Saccharomyces cerevisiae S288C: one gene and its partners. The gene in region 3 interacts genetically with the main gene of each other region. Each region holds a gene or a part of one and is shown on either strand. Other genes may lie near its edges.

Region 1 (3,281 bases), on a different chromosome or scaffold from region 3:
GTTATTGAAAGCAGCATTGTAATCTCTGTTATAAAGGTCAGATTTTACCGCCTGTATTTGTTCAGTTAACGGTGACTTTTCATTGTCTTGATCTTTTGGATATAGCTCTTCTAAGAATGTTATTTTAAAAAGATCGATTATTTCCTGTGGTGGAAGCGTTGATTTATTGTGAACGGGCAATTGGGCCACTTTTTTAGGATTCATGTTAATTGGAAACTGAGAAGAGTAATGATATTGTGAATAAATTGGTATATATTTAAAATATACTGAAGAAGTTAAAAAGGCAAAGCGTCTCATAAGCAACATCAAAAACGTGCAAAAAGAGACCCTGCGATGAGATGTACTCTAATTCAGAAAGAGAAAAAAAAAAAAAAAAAAAAAAAAAATAAAAATGCACTAAGGGCCCAATGGATTTCTTTTTTTGATATTGAATCATTCATTAAACATATTTATTAGGTTTAGAAGATTTTAATTATACAAAACTTATGCTCTATTTAAAATAATATTAATGAATTTATTCTTCGTCTTCTTCTTCGTCTTCTTCTGGAGTGACTTGGTAGAAGGCCAATCTGTATTCGTTGGTCTTGGTAGAGACAAATCTGATCCAGTCTCTCAATTGGTTCTTCTTCAAGTACTTCTTTGTCAAGTACTTCAAGTACTTACCAGAGAACTTGGCAGTGGAAACAACAGTAACAACGGTACCATCTTCAGTGACAGTGACAGCGTTACCCAAGTTACCGACAGCACCTTCGACCTTGATGTGGTCGATCAAGTACTTAGCGTAGGAAGCTGGGTCGAAGACACCGTTTTCAGTTGGAGAAGAGACATCGACGGTAAAGGTCTTGGCAATCTTTTGCTTTCTGGAAGTCTATATCAAAAAAATTAAAGATTGAAAATTAGTAAAAATTTTCAGAACAGTAATGTTAGTAAAAAACGAATATTTCACGATTTTCTTTCAATCCCGAAACCACAAAGTTGCCTACTGCTATTAACAATCACATATGACAATCTCAAACAAAAAAACATTCAGAAACGGATAAAAAGAAGGGAGTCGATATAGAGTTCAATGTTCAAGTAGTGAATTTTTAAAATACAGAAAAGCAACTAAACACATAGACGCTTCTTCGTTTCGTACATTTTTATTTTTTTTTTTTTGGTTTTACTATCTTCCTTGTTATTCGCGTACAATCAATCATTACAATAACAGTAAAACATAGACTTCGTAATCGGGCGTGGATTCCTTTTAAAGTATCATACGTTTGGGGCCATTGTTTCTTAATCTGTTGTTTTGGTGGTTTATAATTTGATAACGGTAAAGTACAGGTAAAGTTGTTAATCTCAATTAATAATGTACATATTGTATGCAGCTAAATGATAGTTTGAAACATTTTAGGAAATTCTCGGTAAGATTTGTTCGCGTGGCCTGTTGAGGATTTTTTCAAAAGAGAAGCGCACTGAGGTGGAAAGGAAAAACAAATTAACATAAATGTATGGATGTATTATTAAATGTACTGATGTTTATCAAAAAAACTGTCTTTGAAAGTTAAGTACAAGCTAAACATTTACTCAGTAGCGGTAGTAATATTATATAAAACATGGTAAACTTTAGTTGTGTTTCTATATATAGATATATATATGTGTCTATCTATCTATATAAGTTTTATAAATCAGTAAAAATTTTTGTTAGAACATTACATTATAGGAAGACTTCGGCATTAACCTCTACAAAGGATGCAGCGAATGGAACGTCGAAATTCATCATGACTTCAGGATGCAAGACACCCAAGTGGCCGATTTGCTTTGGCTCAGCGCCTTCTTTGGATCTGAACATGACCTTGGCACCTCTACCTGGGAAGTAGGTTTTCACAGAATCGTCTTCTTCAATCCAGTAACCTCTGCCAGAAGCAGCAGCACCGTAGTCTGCAATCCACTCTGTTCTAAAAGTTTGCATGATTTTACCCAATAACCCTTGAATGATTTCAAACCCAGAATTCTTACCCACGTAGATGGCAGCCCAGTGACGTTCATTGTACGCCTTCCTTTCTAGTTTGTCGTCTTTAAATACAACGTCACCGGTTTCAAAGACTTTGATTGGCAAGGAATGTTTTCTGTTTTCCTTGACTGTCTTTAAGATACCAGGCAATAAAGTGGTTCTAACAACTTGGTATTCCAAAGTCTTTGGGTTGGCCAATTTGACAGCTAAATCACCATTGTCGGATTGTCTTAGAAATTTAAAGTTTTCATCGTGCGAACATAAGGTCAATGGTAAAACCTCAACCCACGTGGCTTGAGAGGATGCAACTCTGAAAATATCAGAAACCTTGTTGATTGGTAATGGTTTGGCAATGAAGTTGGCATTGGATAATTTCTCACCCTTTGGCAAATTATTGAAACCATAACCGACAGCGGCATCTTCCATTATATCACAAGCGTGCAAAATATCAGGTCTAGTTACCGGAATGTCAACGTGCAAGATGTCCTTGTCTTCCTTTGATTGAACGGCATGCAACGACATCTTCTTTAGACAATGAGCAATTTCATCAGCGGATTGATCTAGGCCAAGACAGGAGTTGATGTACTTAATGGAGACATCCATAATTCTATCGTTGAAGTTTGGCGCCAAACGGGATTGGCCATTGTGTTCAGAGACAATTTCTACAGGCTCAACCGTGAATGGTTCGTCACAATAACGTGAGAACATTGTAGTTAATATGTTCAAAACGATCTCGGCTTTGGTCTTATCGGTGGCGGTTATATCAATCAAAATGTTACGGGTGTTCACAGAGATCTTCGAATGTTCACTATTGATTAATGGTGGCAGGGAGCAAACACGATCTTTGCTGTCCATAATAACTGGGAAGACTGGAGAATCCTCAATAATGTGAACGTATCTCCCTATGTTGTTTTTCTGTTCTGGAGATTTATAAAACTCGATCAATTTGTCACCAGTAAACTCTTGGGTTTGATTCAATGGTACGAACTTGATGTCCTTTGGTGGTAGAGCTCTGTAATGGAATGGACCTTCAATTGAATCTAAATCGTGAGTACCCATGGCAACCAAGCTTCTGTTTCTACATAGATTGGCATGTAATTTATCTTGCAAGGCAATAAAAGAAGCGTAAGATTTTTCGTTAAGCTTGATATTTCTCAATACAGCAGCGGTAGCAAAAGGTCTAATTTGCTCCGTTGATTTGTCGATGATCAACTTAGTGGTTGGCTTGCTTAATTTATAGTCAGGTCTTTCTTTACGTTCCAAGTATTCGTTCAGCGACTGTGAAATA
Region 2 (2,848 bases), on a different chromosome or scaffold from region 3:
TCCTCTTCAACTAACCTTCCCTCGTTCAAAACCCTCGCGATAATACACAGAATGTTATTACGTTTTTCTAATACAGATGAGCTAAACGATTTTTTAACCAATCCCGTTGTTTTAAGTACGGGATATACATCAAGTGTGCAGTTTGAGTTGATTGAATTTTGTCATTCTCTGTATTGCATCAAAGGAGACAGAACAAAAAGCATTGATGACTCAATATTGATGGAAAGAGTTGATAAATTTATTACCAGACTTAATAATAATATTTCAACACGAAAAGAGCTATATATGTCAGTGGTTCAAGCGTACGTCTCTACTAACAATTTCGAGAATTTAAAAGTAATCTTGGAAAAAATCCAGAGAGATAATGATATTAGCATAGACGGTTCGTTTCATTTGTGCATTTCTAGGTATTTTGTCAACACCAATCAATTCGAAGGACTTTTCAAATATTATCGCAGTGTAGTTAAAACCACTGATGGTAAAACGCGATTACGGCCCGCATTTATTCAACAATTATGGTCATGTGCCGTAAATGTTTATCCAATGCTGGCAAAAGAAATTACAAATGACCTACTTGTGACTCTAAAAAGGAGCCAATACAGCAAATGTCTCACTTGGGTGTACACATTTTTACAAGAAAATGCCCATATCCATACGAGAAAGATCAATGGAGGAGAAGACTCTTCGTTATCTGGTTTCAACGCGGTTGATTTTGAAAGGTTTGAAGAGTTCAAGAAAAAAGTTTCTCACAATGATGTATATGGAGCAGAATTGGTGATTTCGAATAGTTTGAAGGAGGGCATTGCGCCTCAATTTTCATTTTTGTATTCCGTTTTGGCATTATGCTTGAGAAACTCTTTAACTGGTTTGGCACGTGTAGTTGATGTGATATTAAGGACCAGATTCCGCTATATCCCACTAAAAGTCGATATATTATGGTTGAAATGGGAGATCATTTCTAATTATAGATCTTTTGAAAAGTTGTCTGCTGAACATTTAAAAGAACTGGAATTCAAACTGAAGGAATTTGAACGAGTACATCAAAAGGAGCTTTCAGTTCAAAACTATTTACAACTTACTCAAATATGTTTCCACACCCGTGATTTCAAATATGCATGTTACCTAATTTCACAAGCTAGAAAAAATTTGGATACTTCAAATAACAAACAGTGGATGATGTATTACATGACATCTTTAAAGTTGGCGTCAAGAATGCATGAAAGCGAACGGTTTAGTAGGATTTTAAAAGACTGGAATTGTAATCATAGGGCAAGCCTGATTACTCCAGGTTGCATTAGACAAATCAAAGGCTTTATGAAATATTTTGAGAAAAGGCCTGCTTACATTTCAACTGCTGCTTCCATTGATAACAAGGAGATAAAGGATCGCATTGACGAGTTAGTACTTAGATATGTGGACTATAAATACCAGGGGCTTGAGAATATGAGAAAGTTAACACTTTTCTTAAAAGAATGGTTTGATGAAGAGATTTCACTATTAAAGTTGGAGCAAAATGAAAGGAAAATGAAGCTTTTTGAAGAGAATAAAAAGGAGGAGGAGTAATCTTTTCAGTTATTTACCTTCCTTTCTCTCACGTGTAAATATTTGTGTGTCATACACACCGCTAAAAACCTTTGCATCAACTTATACCCTACATTTCTATAGACGCTATTTGGAAACAAGATGTAACCCTTTTTTTCTTTTAGTTTTGAGATTTGTACTCGTAAAGAGTACGTTTATTTATTTATTCAAATTTTATTCTTCATACCATGTAAATATAAGCGCATATAATCACTACGATCTTAGTACAGCTAGAATTGCTGACGCTTACAATTGCTTTATTGTTTGATTATATGCACGTATACATATAGTGTCAGCAAAAAAAAAAAAAGGCAGTACTTGATTGGCTACGCCGCGCATCGTCCGAGAAATCCGGCCTGGTAGGGGCAGGTTTGAAAAGGCGGATAGAAATAAAAGATGATATTATTTATTCATCCCATGAATAGTAGAACTCGATATAAGATTCTAAACCAACAAGTACAGAAAGCAAAACAATAATAAATAATGGCTAATAAAGTTATTCAACTACAGAAAATCTTCCAATCTTCCACTAAACCTCTATGGTGGAGACATCCAAGGTCAGCTTTATACCTGTATCCATTTTATGCTATTTTTGCGGTAGCCGTCGTTACACCACTTCTATACATTCCAAATGCTATTAGAGGTATCAAAGCCAAGAAGGCATAGTTAGGTAAAAATAACATCCGTTCATAGCATCTTTATAATTGTTCTTTGATATTAAGTGTGTATGCTCAATACACATCACCCAAAACATTTTTATTCGAAATAAGATGAAAGCCATTTATTTATATATACATATATAATATTCTAAAGAATAAGGAAACAACTAATCGAACTAGCATAGCCTTTTCCATCTTTGTTTTCTTGCGCAGTAATAAATCGTTTCAGTTAGGCCTGGCAATAAAGATTTGCTAATCATTGAAAAAGGTGTGATTGATTTTCTCACTTGAAGTATGTCTAGTATTTATTAAACAATTATAATGGTGTAAACTAATGTCTCTTCAAGCAAAACGTGCTTAAAAGTGTCCATGTGATGGGAGGGATCATATTTTCAAAGAGGTCTTCAAACGTTGAAGGATAAGCTCCTCTTCATCATCGTCAACCCAGTTGGAGCTCCCTTCATCGTTCAGAAAATCCATCAACACTTGTTGCTGTTGATTCTTGTGATGAGTCTTTTGCAATATTTCCCTCTGCTCTTCAATTTTCTTTTTTAATAACTTCATCTTAGAAGCGGTATCCTGTTTGGATTGTGTTTTGGTAGTTTTCA
Region 3 (3,765 bases):
TTTCCCCGCGCGGCTGAGTACAAAAGCGCCTAGTACTCACTTGAGTCATAATTTAGCACATCATAGCGTGCCTGCCAGAAAGACTTGGATGCGCATTTCTATTTGATGTAAGTAAGGAAATAGGAGAACTTTCATAGCCCATGGCTAGTTCGGTTTTCAGTAAACTATATACGTATATGTTAAGAATATTTCGGAGTGTCTAGATAATAAAAGAACATCGTTAAACTTATGAATGGTGAAGGAGGAGAAGTCTCGTTAAAGAATTCCTGTTGTAGAAAAAGTCAGTTCTGGTTACGAGAGGAAAATGTTGGAAGTTTATATCCCATCCTTTTCCTTTTCCCAGCATTTCTTTACAAACCGTTCCATGTTGACTTTTTTTTTCATTTGCCCTACAATCCAGGGATGCTTTAACATTTGCCTGGGAGAAGGCCTCTCTCTGGCATCTTTTTTTAAACAATAGTCGATAAAAGATCTAAATGTCTTGCTCCAGGATATGTCTAGTTCTGGCTCATCTTTCAACTGGGGAGAAAACGTCAGGATCATCGTCAATAATTCTATAGGAGCCACGTTTTGCGTTATTTTGTCAGATTCAAATGGAAATCTCCCTCCAGCAACCTCCAGAAGAGTTAATCCTAAGGACCATACATCACAGGTTACGCTGTATGGTTGGCCTTGTATTCGTTCTGGGGCCATATAAAATGACGTTCCAGTAAATGTCATCGCTAAAGAGTTAACAGCCTCCCCACTGACACCGAAATCGCATAATTTGATTTCCCCTTTTTCATTAAGAAGAATGTTTTGGGGTTTAATGTCCCTGTGGATGACTTTCCTTTCGTGTAAGTATGATAAACCTCTTAAGACAGATTCTGCTATCTTTCCTATCACCCTCTCACTTATTCTACCGCCACGTTTCAACAAATTTTTATACGTTGCCTCCAGTGATTTTCCTCCCATATATTCCATGGCAATGTATATTGAAGAACTCTGTTCGTCGGTAAACATACCATAGTACTGCACAATATAATCGGACTTAAAACTCTTATTAAATTGTAGCTCTCTGAATATTTGCTTTTGATATTCTGGGTCAGTATTCATAGTGTTGATTGTCTTCAACGCAAAAACCTTTTTTCCATTTTTTAATCGGCACTTGGCTACAGAACCACCCGCGCCTTCTCCTAGAATTCCTAGTGTAGTAATCTCATCCTTGAGATGCCCAAACCTCCATGCTTCTTCCTCTAACTGGTCTACGTCTTTTCCTTGTATTAAGTTGGAACAAGAAATTATGTTATTTGCACTTAAAGGGGCGGAGTTGCTCCCGCTACTGCTGAAGTCGTACGCAGAAAGAAGTGTCGAGGGGTATGAATCCTCGCCTTCTGGTGTGTCGAGATCTTTCTTGATAAAAGTGGTATCTATGTTGGATAACTTAGTGGAAATTGGAGCACTAGATAGTAGTTCCTTGTAAGTTATATCAACATGCAAATTAGAAAATCTTTCAGAAAGCTGACTATCGCCGGCAACTCTATATTCTATACCGTCTTTTTTTTGCGTTAGTACTAGGGGAGGTAATGGAGGTGGTACCGGTCTATTTTTAATAGTTGTAGTAGATGATCTATTGTACAACAAAGTGGAATTTGAAGCCATGGATGACGTAGTGGAAGTAGCTGAAGTGCTATTGTTGGAGTATGGGCTTTCGTTCACTGACGAGTACGGTGACCGGTTGAGATGTTGCCCATCATTAGTGGATTTCGCATTTTGAACTAAATTTACTGGAAGCGTTAATTTTGGAGTCTTTTGGTGACTCCTATTGGATTCTGGTGGTCTGAACATTGAAGCCATTATCCTGTGTATATAATTGGTATTTTGTAGATATGATAACAGTGCCTGCTATGCTAATCAGGTAATACTTGCTACTAGTAAAATGTCTAATTTTTTGAGCGAACGAATTTCATGCAAATTAGAAGGTAGCCAACATATAAATATATGAATATATATGTGCCTACGTGTTTGATGAGGTTTTCAGTAAAATTAAGCGGAAAGTATTGAGCTTTCCCAACTGATCCCTTTGATTTATTCTCTTTCTAATTCTTCAACTCTAAGGATAAAGTTTATTTCTTTTTGATTTTTTTTCGCATTGAGAAAGTGAACATAAACAAGGGTAAAATAGGCTCAATATCAGTTCACCTTTGAGAGTCTGGCAATAAGAGATGTGGTTCTAAGGTTACCTTATACATTCTAAACTCTGAAAACGCGTTTTCAAAGGTATGTACATTTCTCTATATTAAAGAGTAGATCCTTGCCGTTTATATATACATGTAGAGCAATTCTCAAGCTAATAATTAATGTTTACTTCAGACAATAAAACATTAAAAACAAATTTTTAGAAAAACAAAAGCTGAAGTAAAGACTAAATATTACACAATTTATTCATACATTTCCGCCCCAAACTCAAACAGCCTAAATAATATAAAAATTAACTTTTGGCAGCTCCAACCTCTCTACTGCCATCTAAAACTTTTCCAGTAAACGGCTTATATACAGTTAACAACCCGTCACTATCAACTGTAGCAACTAGATCCTCAATGTATTTGTGATAAGCAACGGTATTAACCTTATTATTTTCTCCTATTTCTCTTCTGCAGCCCTCAGTGTGATAAAATGCCATGCTTTCGGCCTCCAATTCGTCAGATATTATGCCTTGAAAGTCCTCATGTATCTCGTTATAAATGGCAAAAACAGGTTCGAAATTCCAGTGGTAAACATTACCTAACCCTCCAATTGTAACCACTTCCATAGGCGAAATGGAAGAAAACTCTATTTTGGACACTTGCTCGCTATAAAAGTGATGAACTTTGAATAGTTCATTGACTTTATTATGTCCTTGGTTGATATTTAACTCAGCATCAGCATCCCCTAAAGCGATAACTGCACGTATATCCCAAACCTTGAGAGCCCCACCACTAGTTCCCGTCATAAATAATGTATCAACAAACGGTGATGCAGCAAAACAAGTTGTTTTGCCGTCCAAAGAATCGTTTAGAATCCAAAGGGGCTTTTTGCCTATCTCATTACCCCAAAACCTTATGATACCGTCATCAGAACAAGTGGCGAATATTTGATTATTCAAAAACTTGATTTCTTGAATATTCTTTATGCCAGGAACAGGTATTGTACGAAGCACTTCTCCTATTTTACCTGAGTTGTCTATCAATTTTATTGTAGCGTTTTCATTATCAAGATGTTTTTCCTTAGTTACTGTTAAGGTTTTTGAATCGTTAGAAATTGCAAAATCAACACAGGGTTTATTTTGATTTCCGGACGATGCTGAACTTAGAGAAGTGGATGGCTCCATCATTGTGTAAACGGGCGATTTGACACCTTCTCTGAACCATGCCAAAGAACCATTGGTAGAAAGGGCTATCACCTTTACATTTATTTCGCTGTTATCCACGTAAATCATCTTTGCAATCGTTTCACCTTTAAATTCCCATTTTGGAATCAAAACAGTCTGCTCCACCTTTTGAGATTCCATGGTATAATCCGGTTGTACTAACGGTTCTGAAATGCTTTCAGGTTTTTTGTAATGAAGTCCGAGTGGCACTATACAATCCACCTCAAAGATTTCACTCCCTTGAGAATATAAAAGTGGTACGCTCAAAACACCTTTGGATTTATTACATGAGCTATCGTTAGTGAAAACTATACTCCTAAGTGTCGATGGAGATTCGTCAACGCCTGAGCCAAAGATAGGCTTCAAACTTGAAATAT

Evidence for each region.
Region 1: mutations in MKK2 (region 3) and RPL22A together harm fitness more than expected from each alone (negative genetic interaction), as found in Saccharomyces cerevisiae (2 studies listed by BioGRID).
Region 2: mutations in MKK2 (region 3) and COX7 together harm fitness more than expected from each alone (negative genetic interaction), as found in Saccharomyces cerevisiae (3 studies listed by BioGRID).

The regions. Positions count from the first base shown.
Region 1 is NC_001144.5:261,182-264,462, reverse strand, and holds RPL22A (60S ribosomal protein eL22 RPL22A), read right to left. Parts: upstream 1,270-3,281; coding exon 1,258-1,269; intron 869-1,257; coding exon 515-868; downstream 1-514. Other genes in the region: BMT6 (25S rRNA (uracil2843-N3)-methyltransferase), read right to left, coding at 1-306; FRS1 (phenylalanine--tRNA ligase subunit beta), read right to left, coding at 1,697-3,281.
Region 2 is NC_001145.3:778,344-781,191, reverse strand, and holds COX7 (cytochrome c oxidase subunit VII), read left to right. Parts: upstream 1-2,064; coding exon 2,065-2,247; downstream 2,248-2,848. Other genes in the region: PET111 (Pet111p), read left to right, coding at 1-1,563; GFD1 (Gfd1p), read right to left, coding at 2,625-2,848. UniProt on the Saccharomyces cerevisiae protein: Component of the cytochrome c oxidase, the last enzyme in the mitochondrial electron transport chain which drives oxidative phosphorylation.
Region 3 is NC_001148.4:287,199-290,963, forward strand, and holds MKK2 (putative mitogen-activated protein kinase kinase MKK2), read right to left. Parts: upstream 1,837-3,765; coding exon 316-1,836; downstream 1-315. Other genes in the region: UME1 (Ume1p), read right to left, coding at 2,471-3,765. UniProt on the Saccharomyces cerevisiae protein: Serine/threonine protein kinase involved in a signal transduction pathway that plays a role in yeast cell morphogenesis and cell growth.